Oryctolagus cuniculus: one gene and its partners. The protein of the gene in region 2 interacts with the protein of the main gene of each other region in a biochemical or structural test. Links are inferred from orthologs where the notes say so. Each region holds a gene or a part of one and is shown on either strand. Other genes may lie near its edges.

The links.
Region 1: the proteins of PJA1 (region 2) and NSMCE3 form a complex in vitro, tested with the Homo sapiens proteins (2 studies listed by BioGRID). The link is inferred for Oryctolagus cuniculus from reciprocal best matches to the Homo sapiens genes PJA1 and NSMCE3.
Region 3: the proteins of PJA1 (region 2) and MAGED1 form a complex in vitro, tested with the Homo sapiens proteins (2 studies listed by BioGRID, with this or other methods). The link is inferred for Oryctolagus cuniculus from reciprocal best matches to the Homo sapiens genes PJA1 and MAGED1.

What each region holds. Positions count from the first base shown.
Region 1 is NC_091443.1:11,538,207-11,541,420, reverse strand, and holds NSMCE3 (non-structural maintenance of chromosomes element 3 homolog), read right to left. Parts: upstream 1,818-3,214; 5' UTR 1,762-1,817; coding exon 934-1,761; 3' UTR 589-933; downstream 1-588. UniProt on the Homo sapiens protein: Component of the SMC5-SMC6 complex, a complex involved in repair of DNA double-strand breaks by homologous recombination. The complex may promote sister chromatid homologous recombination by recruiting the SMC1-SMC3 cohesin complex to double-strand breaks.
Region 2 is NC_091453.1:49,098,614-49,102,845, forward strand, and holds the start of PJA1 (E3 ubiquitin-protein ligase Praja-1), read right to left. Parts: upstream 2,834-4,232; 5' UTR 2,708-2,833; intron 2,472-2,707; exon of another isoform or gene 2,281-2,471; intron 574-2,280; 5' UTR 507-573; coding exon 1-506. UniProt on the Homo sapiens protein: Has E2-dependent E3 ubiquitin-protein ligase activity. Ubiquitinates MAGED1 antigen leading to its subsequent degradation by proteasome. May be involved in protein sorting.
Region 3 is NC_091453.1:36,245,662-36,249,959, forward strand, and holds the start of MAGED1 (melanoma-associated antigen D1), read left to right. Parts: upstream 1-1,399; 5' UTR 1,400-1,436; intron 1,437-4,298. UniProt on the Homo sapiens protein: Involved in the apoptotic response after nerve growth factor (NGF) binding in neuronal cells. Inhibits cell cycle progression, and facilitates NGFR-mediated apoptosis. May act as a regulator of the function of DLX family members.

The DNA of each region.
Region 1 (3,214 bases), on a different chromosome or scaffold from region 2:
AGCGCAGTCAGGCTAGGACAGAGGCCCGACTTTCCTAGGAGCGGCTGAGAACAGTTAAAAGTCGGCACACACAGGAAGCAGCAGCTCCGGACTAAGAAGAAAAAAAATCTTCTTTCTGAATAACTTTACAAAGGGGCTGTGACAGGAGTCTTAGGTAAACTTCCCTGTTCACGCCGGCATCGGCCACCTCACAGGCTAGGCCCCGTCAGTTCACACACCTGGGCCGTCCGGCAGGCAGGTGGGTCACTGACCGAGACACACATTTCACACCGTGAAGCTACGCAAATACTTTTTTTACATCAACTTCTACAGAACGCTATGAACATTAATATGCAAGAGATTTAAAAACGCGCATGACTAACCACTTTAAAATACAGCATTTATCGTTAACGGCTACGTAGTTAGAGGGAAGAAAAGCCGCCCAATGGAACTGAGCGATGAGCCACACAGCTGAGTAACAATCGTGAGCCCAAAACCCTCTTGGAGGCACAGGAGGCCATCGCTCGGAGTCACGGCCGCGGCCCGGGGCAGGAAGCCTGTGAAATCCGCGTGTTACTCTAACAAGGACAGACGGTTCTAGTCGCACGGTCAACTTTGCAAACAGCTTTATTTTCCTTACAAATGGGGGTAGGAGACGTGAAATCACTTCTCTGCTTTTATATTCTCGGCACCGAGGTCCTGCGCTCACGCGCTTTCTTAAACACCTGTCCCAGGGCACGGCACGCAGCGCTCCGGTTAGTCTTACAAAGCCAGCAAGATTTTATACAAAATAACAACACGACGGCAAAGTCTAAACCGGGGGTGGGGGCAAAAGCCGCCGCTCCCCCAAGCCTGCTTCGAGGCGGCGGCCTGGGAGCAGACAGCAGGGGCCGGGGGAGGCGAGCCCACCCACCCACCCACCCCCGGGCGCCCCTCCCGCCCGCGCCGCGGGCTTCAGCAGGTGGCGGCCGGCCCGCTGGGCTGGGGCTGCGGCCGGGCCCGGCTCTCCTCGTCCGCCAGGGCCTCGCAGTACTGCGCCGGCCAGTCCTTGGGGTCCTGGTTGTGCACTTTGGCCACGAACTTGAGCACCTTCATCTTGCTCGTCTCCAGGCTGGTGCGCGGGCCCCACTGGAACTCGTAGTCCACGGGGTCCGTGTGCGGGATCCGCCGGTACTCCAGGTAGCGCTGCCGCACGAAGTCCTCGGTGAGCAGCTTCTTGGGGTCCCCGAAGACCACGTGCCGCTTGGTGGGGTGCACGCCCAGCCGCCGCAGGAAGTCCCACACCTCCGTCTCCTTCACCGCGTTGCCCTTCATGAAGATGAGCCCCAGCACGATCATCAGCAGGCCCGTGGTGGGCGTGCCCTGGTCGCCCCGCACCGCCGCGTCCTCCTCCACCGGCTCCAGCGTGTTCACCAGGATGTACGCGTTGCTGCGGGGCTCCAGCTCCACCAGCTTGTAGCCGAACACGTACTGCAGCCGCTCGCCGGCCAGCCGCAGCAGGTCCGGCAGGACGTCCTTGTAGTCGCCCAGCACGTGCTTCGCGATGTCCGTGCGCTTGATGGGGATCTTCTTCTGGTCCTTGACCAGCAGGAACTGCACCAGCTCCGCCACCTTCAGCTCCAGCTGCTTCTGAGTCCTGGGCCCCACCGACGGGGCGCTCAGCGCCTCCTGCGAGCCGCCCGGCCCGCGGGACGTGCTCGGCGTCTCCTCGGCGGCGCCGCGGCCCCCGTCCCTGTCGGCCTGGGAACTGGACCGGCCCCGGCTCCGGGCTTTCTGCAACATGGCTCCAGGCAGCGGGGCGGGGGCCGCAGCGGGGCGGGGGCCGCAACGGCCGGAAGCGGCGGGGATTGTGGGTCGGCGCGAGGCGCCAGGGGGCGGGGCCACGCGGCGTGCGTCCCCGTGCGTGCTGCGTCACGGGGGGCGGCGCTGGGCATGCGCAGCCGCGCCTGCGGAAGGGCGGCGCGGTGCTGCTGGTGGGAGTGATGGGTTAATCGGGTTAGAAAGAGACCACCAAACTCCTGCTCTAGGGTGCGGCTAATTTCAGGCCCGCACGGGCGCGGGGCGGTTACGGGCGGTATTAAGAGGTTTAGCATCGGGCGCCTTTGTGGATGGAGTGGCCGAGGCCGCCACGGCGTGGGAGGCTGGAGCGCCCGCTGCGGCGCAGACCGTGGAGGTCGAGACACGCGAGCCGCAGGGCGTCCTTGACCTTGGCGCCCGCCCTCGTGTCCTCCGGGGTGTGCGGGACACGAGGGGCTGGCGGCCACTGCCCGCGGCGGGGGGCCGGGGAACGCGGCGCCCGCGGGCACGGCCCTGGGCCCGCAGCCACGCCCGGGGCAGGACCCGGAGACATTCCCACTTCCTCGGAGGCCTCGCGGATGCGAGCTGCGCTAACGTGCATCTCCTAGACGCCTTCATTGCAAACTCCCCAGCCACTGGGATCCGTAGCAAAGCGCACAGGGGGTCCGCGACGTGTGCAGTTTGCATGCATTTTCAATTGTGCAACGCGTCGTTCCATTAACTCGAGCGATCAGCAATCTGCTGGCGCGCCTACAGATTTTAGCAAGTGTGTTTCTTCTCGACTTGCAAGGAAACTCAATTTCCCCGTCTTTTTTTTTTTAAAGCTACCGGGAAAATGGGTAAACTTCTCTAGGAACTAAATTAAATTGAGTTCCTCTTTAATGCAAATATATTCCGCGGAAAGCAATTCAGAGCCCATTATTTGAATAACAGCACCAAAGCACAGCCTTATTAACATTCCATTGAAGGAGAGTCACATAAAATTTTTGTTTATAATTCAATATGAAAATGCAATCTGATAATGGCACCCACACCACCCCAGTGCTAACCGTGAAGTCTTAATCCACGCTGTGGTGCAGTATGATCAAAATGCTAGCTGGGAGCAGTCGCTCTCCCACACCGAATCCACCGAAGGGGCCCCTCGCGGCAGTCTTAATGAGAGGCTGCCGCGGTTAGAGTGTCCCGCAAAGTTCATGTCCCCTAATAGTGCTGGGGGGTGACGAGGGCTCTGCCAAATGAGCAATGCATTTTCCCCCAAGCGGGTCAGTATGCAGTGACCGGTCCTCTCCTCCTCGTCCTCTCGCCATGGGCTCTCTTCACTTTTACCTTGAACTTGCTCATTTCCAGAATTGTGAGCCAGATAACATTCTGCTGTTTCTAAATGACCCACTCCGAGGTATTGTTACAGCAACACAGAAAGGACTAAGTGGCCTAAGTA
Region 2 (4,232 bases):
CTCTCCCTCTCCAATCGATCACCGTGGGCAATGCCCTTGCCTTCGGCAGATCTGTGAGGGGCCAGGCAGTGCTGCGGCAGGAACTCAGCTCTGCCGACAGAGCACCTGTCGGCAGGGGCTGGCTCTAATTTCGCAAGTTCTTCTCTCACGTCACGGTTAAAGCTAGAGAACTGGAGGGGCACCCCAGCCAGAGACCTTGCCCCTTTGTCTGGGTCATACAGCTTATCATCTTTCACCTTGCCAGCCTTCCCTCTTACTGGCGGTCGCTCCACAGGCCCAGCCCCCTCCTCCTCACTATCATCTGCCCCGAAACAGTCAATATGTCCATAAGCCAGGGCTCTTCTGCTCCCCGAAGCCCTGTAGTCTCGGGGAGGGTACCTGGAATAGTCCTCATTATCAACATTCAGACTCGGCCCCGAGTTCTCACTGCCGTCCCAAGTACGACGAGTGGTGGAGAATGGCGACCGGCTCCTCTTGGTGACTTGACTGGGGGTTGATCTGTGCATTGGGACTGCTGAGGTCGTCCTTCTCTGGCTGGCAATCCTGTCCTGCTGGCTCCTGCTTGGCCTGAAACTGATATAAGCATGCCTCCTTCCAGACCCTCTGCCTCAATGGGACCCCATTCCCTCTTGCCAGCCTGTGCCATGCAGGCTTGCTACCTTCCTGACCCACTGCTCTAGTGGAACAGGAGCGTTCCCAACACAGTTGGTTTGGGCTAGAAAGGCTCCTGCCCCCACCCCCCCCGACACACACGCATTTTAGAGATGGGAAAGTCCAATCGATCTGAATAAAGGAGCTGGGAGATTTATTTTCACTTCAGCAGGCAGGTTAACACCAGGGGGGGGGGGTCTTTAAAATTACTTTCACTTTCTTCTAAGGCCTGGAGTAACATTCCAGCGAGTGGCAGGTGCAGACCTGGACCACATTCTTGATGCTAGCAGAACGATTGCAAGATTAGCTTTGCAGAAAAGCCAGACTTAGAAGAGAACCTGACACAAAGTGGTGGGGGTGGGGTGGGGCGGAGAGGACCAGACAGTTGAAAGGTAAGTGAAGTACTGTGAAAGTGTGCCAACTAAGGAAAGCGAAAAGACTGCTGTGTGCTTAATGCGCTTTTTTTTTTTTTTAATTTTCTGAGCCCTGCAGACGCACAGGAGAAATGCAGTTTGGAAGAGTGGGAAATACAGATCACTGTGTGTGCATGCGTGCCTGCATGTGTGTCCAGAAGAGATGGACAGGTGGAAAGGAGGGAGCAGCAGGGCTGACTGACTGCCAGCCACAAGGAGATCCATCCTGGAAGTGCATGTGAACATGACAGGCCTGGGGTCGGAGGGTTCAGAGGAGAGGGGGGTGTTCCGGAAGTAAGGAGAGCTACTCAGTGGCTGTCTATGTTGCAGGCAAGGAAGCAAGGGTGTGGTGGCAAGGGAGAGTGTCAGCTTACCCTGATGGGAGACACAACGGAAAGCTGTCCATGTGAGCCAACATGACAGGCATCAGCGGGGTAGGGGGCAGCAGTGGAGAGCGGGGTGTGTGTTCGTGTGTGTGTGTGTGTGTGTGTGTGAACGCACGCATGCGGGAATGGAGGCCAGCCATCAGACTACCTGTATGTGTCACTGTGGCAGGCAGCGAGGTCTCTGGAGGAGGACTTAGGTGTGAGTGTACGTGGGGGCCCCAGCAGAGGGTTATCAATGCACACCCATGGCACACAGAGAGCAGGAGAGCACATGAGAAGGGTATGGGAACAAGCCTAAGTATGTGTGCAGGTGTGTCAGTGGCCAGCCAGGACAGAAACAGGGCAGTCCTGGAGGGTGTGTGTGTGTGGGTGTGTGTGTGTGTCCCCCGCCAGAGCACTGAAGGAGCAAAGGGTCCGTTCTAGAGGTGGGTGTGTGGGAGGCCGTGAGCCCAAGGGGGAAGGCACCGGACGGTCTGAGGGTGTGTGAGAGGGTGTGTGAGAGGGTGTGCGCGCGCCTGAGTGCGCATGCGCGGCAGAGGGGCCACGCACTAGAACATCCAGGATGGAGTGGCCCAGAGGGGACCCGCAATGGAAAGGGGTGTGTGTGCGCGCGCGTGTGTGTGCCACACACGCGCGACCCAGGTCTGGAGTGCAGGGAGGGAGCGCGATGTCATAAAACAAGAAAGGAAAACGTTATCTGCTCAAAGGGCAGCCCCAAACTGATATGGCAAGGGGAGAATGGGGCGAGGGAGAAAGGGCGCGTGGGGGTACAGTTGTTTCCTGAAGAACAATCCCCCCCCCGACAATTCTTTCCCCCAGACCATTTGTACCTGAAATCCTTCACCAGTTAACCATTTGGCAAAACGGCAGCGAAATCGGGAGGGGTGGGGAGAGAAGAAAGGTCACACGGAGTGCACCGCCAAGGGGACTGAGGAGGGATGCAGGGGACGTAGGCGAGGGTCGCGATCACCACTCTCTCCTCTCCAACAGCCACTGGAGCCACTCGAGCGAGGACCGAGCCGCCAGGAAGGGGCTCCGCAGACGAGGCTGCGGGGCCCTCCCAGCGGCCGATGGAGGACACGGGCCTCCCTGGGCAGGCAGGTCCCGAGCCCGCCCCACCCCTTCCCGAGGGGCGAACCTGAAAAGCGGTTCACGGGAATCCCCCTCACCCCTCCGCCCCAAACCCTCCACCCCACCCCGTCCCCGCCGATCGCCCCAAGTGCCAGCGCCGGGCTGAACTGCGGGCCTTCCACTCACCCTGTCCGGACAACCGCAGGCTCCTCAGAGCAGAGCTCTCGGACCTCCGACCGCCACCACTGCCACAGCCGCTGCTCCTGGGTCTCGGGCTCCTCCCCCGTCAGACAGCAACGGAGCCAGTGGGCGGGGACTGCGGCGGCGGAAGTGATTGTTGCGTCGGCTGGGGCCCGCCCTCTTGATGTGGCTGGGCGGCAGCTGCTCTGGGCAAATGAGGGGGCGGGGGCTCCCCAAAAGCATTATTACATGGTAAACGATGAAATCGGCAAGGATACACAAAAGGACAGTGAGAAATGCTAACAGCCAGCGTCAACGAATATTGAACATTTAGACATATGCCCTTCCGCTCTGTTCTTTCTCTGTAATAAAATGTAATCTACAAATTCTGATGAATTCCAATGTGCGGAGTTGTACCACTATGTTACGCTCTGTGTGATATGTTATGGTTTCTATTGGAAGTATTCTGAATGTGAAACTATAGTTAGGGTTGCAGTAGGCTTACATTCCCCCCCCCCAAGCTAATGATCAAAGCAAATTGAAATGGTTTGCATAAGAATTTGTTGCTGTTGATCACAAAATCAAAGTTCTGTATCCAAAAGAAATGACCAAACATGCGGCCCAACACGGGTTCCTATTCTGACAGTTGCAGTGCGTTTTTTTTTTTTTTAATGAGAATTCTACCTTTTGGATTTAACCAATTTCACTAAACTCTGAGCTCTAACTTTGGCAGCCAATGTAGAGATTTCCCATGGACAAAACAGTAACAAAGTTTTACTTTTGCTGGAAGTGTAATGCACACGGAACAAAAAGTTTGGTGGTAAAAACACTCAAGAATAGGATGTGTGAGTTTCAAACCATTAAAGTAACAATGAGGAATAAAAGAGAAAACGGCAAATCTAACAGCAGAAATGGGAAGAAACAATATAAAAAAGGAAGAAAAGGGTCAGAAACAAACATGAAGGTATCAGTATGTACTATGGATTAAGATCAATTACAAAAATATCTTGTTTTGAGCATTACATTTTTAAAAATCCAGTTATATGTTGTTTGTATGAGAGTTTCACCTAAAGGAGAAATAGGAATGCAAGATATATACCAGTTAAATACCAGAAGGGGAAAAACAAAGGAAGGGAGGGAAGGACAGAGAGAGGGAGGGGATGGGAGGAGGGGGAAAAAACACAGAGAGGGAACCAAAGGAAATACACTTGCAACAATATTAGCGTTATAAACATCAAGGCTAAATGAAAAGCTTTAAAGAGAACCAACAGTTGTTCAGTTTATCAAGAAAGATAAACTGGTCACAAAAATCTCTGTGTCAAACAACGTAGTTTCAAAATTTATGACGCAAATACTGTTAAAAATAATAAATAAAGAAAGTCTACAATTACAATGCGAGACTTAACCGTACATGGTATAGACAGTTCCAATAGACTACAAAGAAGGAAATAGAACGATTGAACAACCCAATAAGCCTCATCTACTGTGTATGTATTTTTGTACTCAAGAGAAGATCCATTTTATTTAATAC
Region 3 (4,298 bases), about 13 Mb from region 2:
AACTTAGATAGTGATGTTGATGACTGAGGGTAGTGGACAAAGTCTACGAATGTTGCTCATACATCTCTCTTTCTCAGAGTCCTTCTAAAGTGGAATTGCCCACTCACCCACTCAATTACATTGCTATCTTACCTGTTTTGCTTCTTCACAGTTTTTGTCAGATTTCAGCATGTATTGCTTTAAATAGTTTATCATAGGACACAAGAATATAATTCCTACGAGGATAGACATAATAGAGTGCTTTCTGAATGAGTCCACTTTTATTTAGAAATTTGAATATGCTAATTCTCTGGATACCACTCTGTGACAAAATTCAGTAATCATATTTTTTACAAAAGCTAATAAGGGGCAGAAGTTGTGGCTGGGAGGTGTGGACACTCCTTGGGACACTGGCATCCTGAATGGAAGGTCTGGGTTCAAGTCGCACCTCTGCTTCTGATCCAATTTTCTATTGGTACACAGCTTGTGAGGCAGCATGTGATGGCTCAAGTACTTGGATCCCTGAGATTTGGATGGAATTCCTTTGGATCCTGACTTTCACCTAGTATAGCTGGGATGGATTGCTGTGGGCATCTAAGAATGAAAGAACTTTCACTCCCTTTCAGATGAAAACAAATACATATTATTCAAAAAAATTTTTATTTTATTTATTTGAAAGAGAGTTACAGAGAGAGGCAGAGGCAGAGGCAGAGAGAGAGAAAGAGGTCTTCCCTCCGCTGGTTCACTCCCCAAATGGCCGCAACGGTCAGAGCTGAGCCCATCTGAAGCCAGAAGCCAGGAGTTTCCTCCGGGTCTCCCATGCGGGTGCAGGAGCCCAAGGACTTGGGCCATCTTCTACTGCTTTCCCAGGCCACAGCAGAGAGTTGTATCAGAAGTGGAGCAACCGGGACTCGAACTGGTGCCCATATGGGATGCCGGTGCTTTCGGCCAGGGTTTTTAACCTGCTATGCCACAGTACCGGCCCCAAATACTTATTATTTTTTAAAAAGCTGATAAAAATAAATTTTCTAAATTTTCCAATTTTCCAAATTGCTGCCCCAGAAAATAGTAAATCAGTATGGTTAAATATGTAACTGTATACATCCAAGACATTGATAATGAAGTCTGAATTAAAGGAGTAAGGTAAAGGAGTCTATTTCTAAGACAACACGACGAACTGAACAAGTGGGATTTGGTAGAGATACTGTAGTTTCTGAAATGATTAGAGTCAGAATTTGCAGAAATTTACTGATTCCCTGTCCTGGGCCCTTTATATCATTATCCAACTTCTCATCTGGGAGCTAATGAGATAAAGCATCCCAGCGCTTGCTAGAGAGGCACAGGAAGTTGCCTGGAGGGAAGGGAATGGGGGTGGCAGCGGCAGAAGCCAAAGCTTCCGCCAAACAAAAGAGGAAAGCACTTCCGGTCACGCCATCGTCGCTGCCTTCTTCGTCAAGGTGAGTGTAAAGAAGGGGACTGATAATTCTCACAAATAAATCCTGCTCCCTTCGGGGAAACGTTGCTTCTGGCCTCAGCATGAGGTGGAAACAAGGTGTATTCATTCTCAGAGTACAGCGTGTGAAGGATGCTTCTGACGCCTGTGGTTCTGATCGCTTCACCATCTCCTCTCCTCCTCCTCAGGGGAAGGGAGGCCGGCACCCGCCCCCTGCCCCCACCCTTGCTTCTGACATTCGTGGTTCTTTTATCCTCCCGACTTCTGGTCATGCTTCACATCCCCTCTTTATCCCGGATCCTTTTCTCCGGTATTTCTGGTTGTTCCCTGTCCCACAAATCTCTCTCTTCCACTAATCCGCAACTTCCGCCCCGCGCCCTTTTAGCCCCAGACCCTTGGCGAGCCCCTTCCTATTCTCTCAGCGGACATTCTTCCTTCCTTCTCTTTCCATCCCAGAATGAAGGGAACTTAAGAAAGTTCCAGGAATATGAAATTAAAAGATGCAGTTATTTTGGTACACAAATTTGATTCGTAGGTTTCTTTCCCCCCATAATACGCATTTTCCACGAACTTTTTGAAGACTCGTATTTTACTCCCTTTGCTGGCTTTCGGTCTTTTACTGTCTCTCCCCTGCAGAGGCCATTGCGTTATACATTTTCCAAAAGCAAGTATGTCTTAAACGTTGAGTTTGCTTTTCTTGTTCTTAAAAAAAAAAAAAAAAGAAAAGCAAAGAAGCAGAAATTGTAGAGCCTGAAGAAGGCATCGGGACTTGTTCAAATTATGTCTGTCTATTTATTTATTTCTCTCAACAAAATTATGCGCCATTTAGTTATTATTGCACTGGTTTCAACCCTCTAAGTGTTTGTATTGATTGACTGATTGATTGTAGTTTTTTTTTAAATGTTGGCAGACAGAACTCCCAGAGTTTTGGAGGAGCAAACATAATGGGTTTTGCGTATACGTTGGTGTCAGCTTTAGAGATGGAAGCTTTCCCATCTCCTGTAAAACCATTCTTAGAGGAGAAGTGATTGACAGGCTTGAGGTCCAATCCTCAATTTATTACTTCAGGAGTTAACTTTATTATACAAATCCTTTTCTGGTCTCTAGGGGCAACATTGAACAGTAAAGCTGGCAGATTTTTTTTAAAGATGGTTTCCTAGGCTCACTTTACGATTTTTATATAGTCTGCCTGTTGCAATGGGAACTTTGTCTTTTCGTGTCTTGAAATGTGAGGTGTATTTTTCTGTTCCATGTGTTATGCAAAATTTATCTTGGAAGAATATCAACTGAATTTATTCGCTTTTCTTTACCCATATGATCATTAAATTTGTGGTAAGGACAAGGTTTTTGTCAGGCTTTATGAAGAATTTAACCACAGTTCCCCTTGAATAAGCAGTTAACTTCTTCCTCCTCCTGTAACTCATGTGTTGTGTTTGACAGAATGAGCGATGACTCCCTTTTCTAGGGCAGAATTTCAGTTCATTTAGATAGAATAAACAAATGAGGTGGATTTCATGACAGCAGAACACTCAGGAACTTTTTAAAACGGTATTAGCAAATGTCTCTTTACTCATATTATTATGCAACATTTATATGTCTTTCACACTGTTTTCAACCCACTGTGCACCCACCCATTTGATTTTGTGTGTGTGTGTGTGTGCTGAATAGCTTATATGTCAGACAGTGTTCTCAGAACTGGGAATACAACAGTACAAAACAAAAGTAGATGTTATAGCTGAGAGGCAATAAATGAATGCAGAGATCTTCAAAAAGTTCACAGAAATAGGCATTATCTTTTAATTTCCTTTTCCAGGAACTTTTTCAAGGCACCACTTCTATAAAATAAATTGTGATGGGGGCGAGCTGTACTGTTTTAGATAAGATGGTCAGGGAGCTCTCTCTGGTAGAGTGGCAGTTCAGTACAGACCTGAAGGAAATGAGGATGCAAATTATGCAGATTATTATTGGAAAAAAATACTTTCATGCTATGATCTCTCATTTGTCATTCACTCTGCTTCCTACATCTCTTTTGCCATCCCTGTGGTCCTCTAGTGGCCACTTTGCTGCATAACTTTAATTCAACACTACCAACTCAGATAACTCAATCCATCGCAATTCCCTGTATTCTCTGCCACCTGGCTAGCTTCTTGCTACCATTGAGATGAATTGCCACTTAACAGTCCCTTTAGGAAGGAGGCTGTATCTATATCTCTAGCCCCACCTCACCCCCAGTTTGTTTATTCCTGGTGCATTGTGTGCTATTCTATAGTAATATTTACCTATCTTTTTGACTGCTATTACCACTGTGTGTTCATAATATTTTGCCCATAAATGTTTGGTGTGGTAATTTGAAATTAATCCAGTGCTTGTCAGTAAGAGACAAACTTTTAAATATAGTTTCTCCACTAATGTTCACAATTACTCTCTAAGGTCATTAGTCATTGTTGTCATTTTGCTGATGATAAAACCAAGACCCAGAGGTCTGGAATAACTTGCTAAACTGCTATATTTCATGCATTTAAAGTCCATCAAACACTTAGTCCTGGTCAGGTTCTCTCTATCTCTCTGTTAATGAGAAATAGAAAAATATACAGACTATTTTATTGTTTTATAAGACATAATCTGTGTGCAGAAACTCCAGTTTTTGGAAACTTCCTGTCATAGATAGGAGTATCATGTACTTGAATTACATGCTAATTGATAAATATTAGGAGCCATGAAATATGACTCTACCCATTTTTAATAAAGATTTAAACAAGCAGAAATCGAAAGAAGAGTACAATGAGCACTCATACTCTGAACCTAGAGTCAGCAATTATTCTTTTTAAAGATTTATTTATTTATTTGAAGGTTAGAGTTACATGGA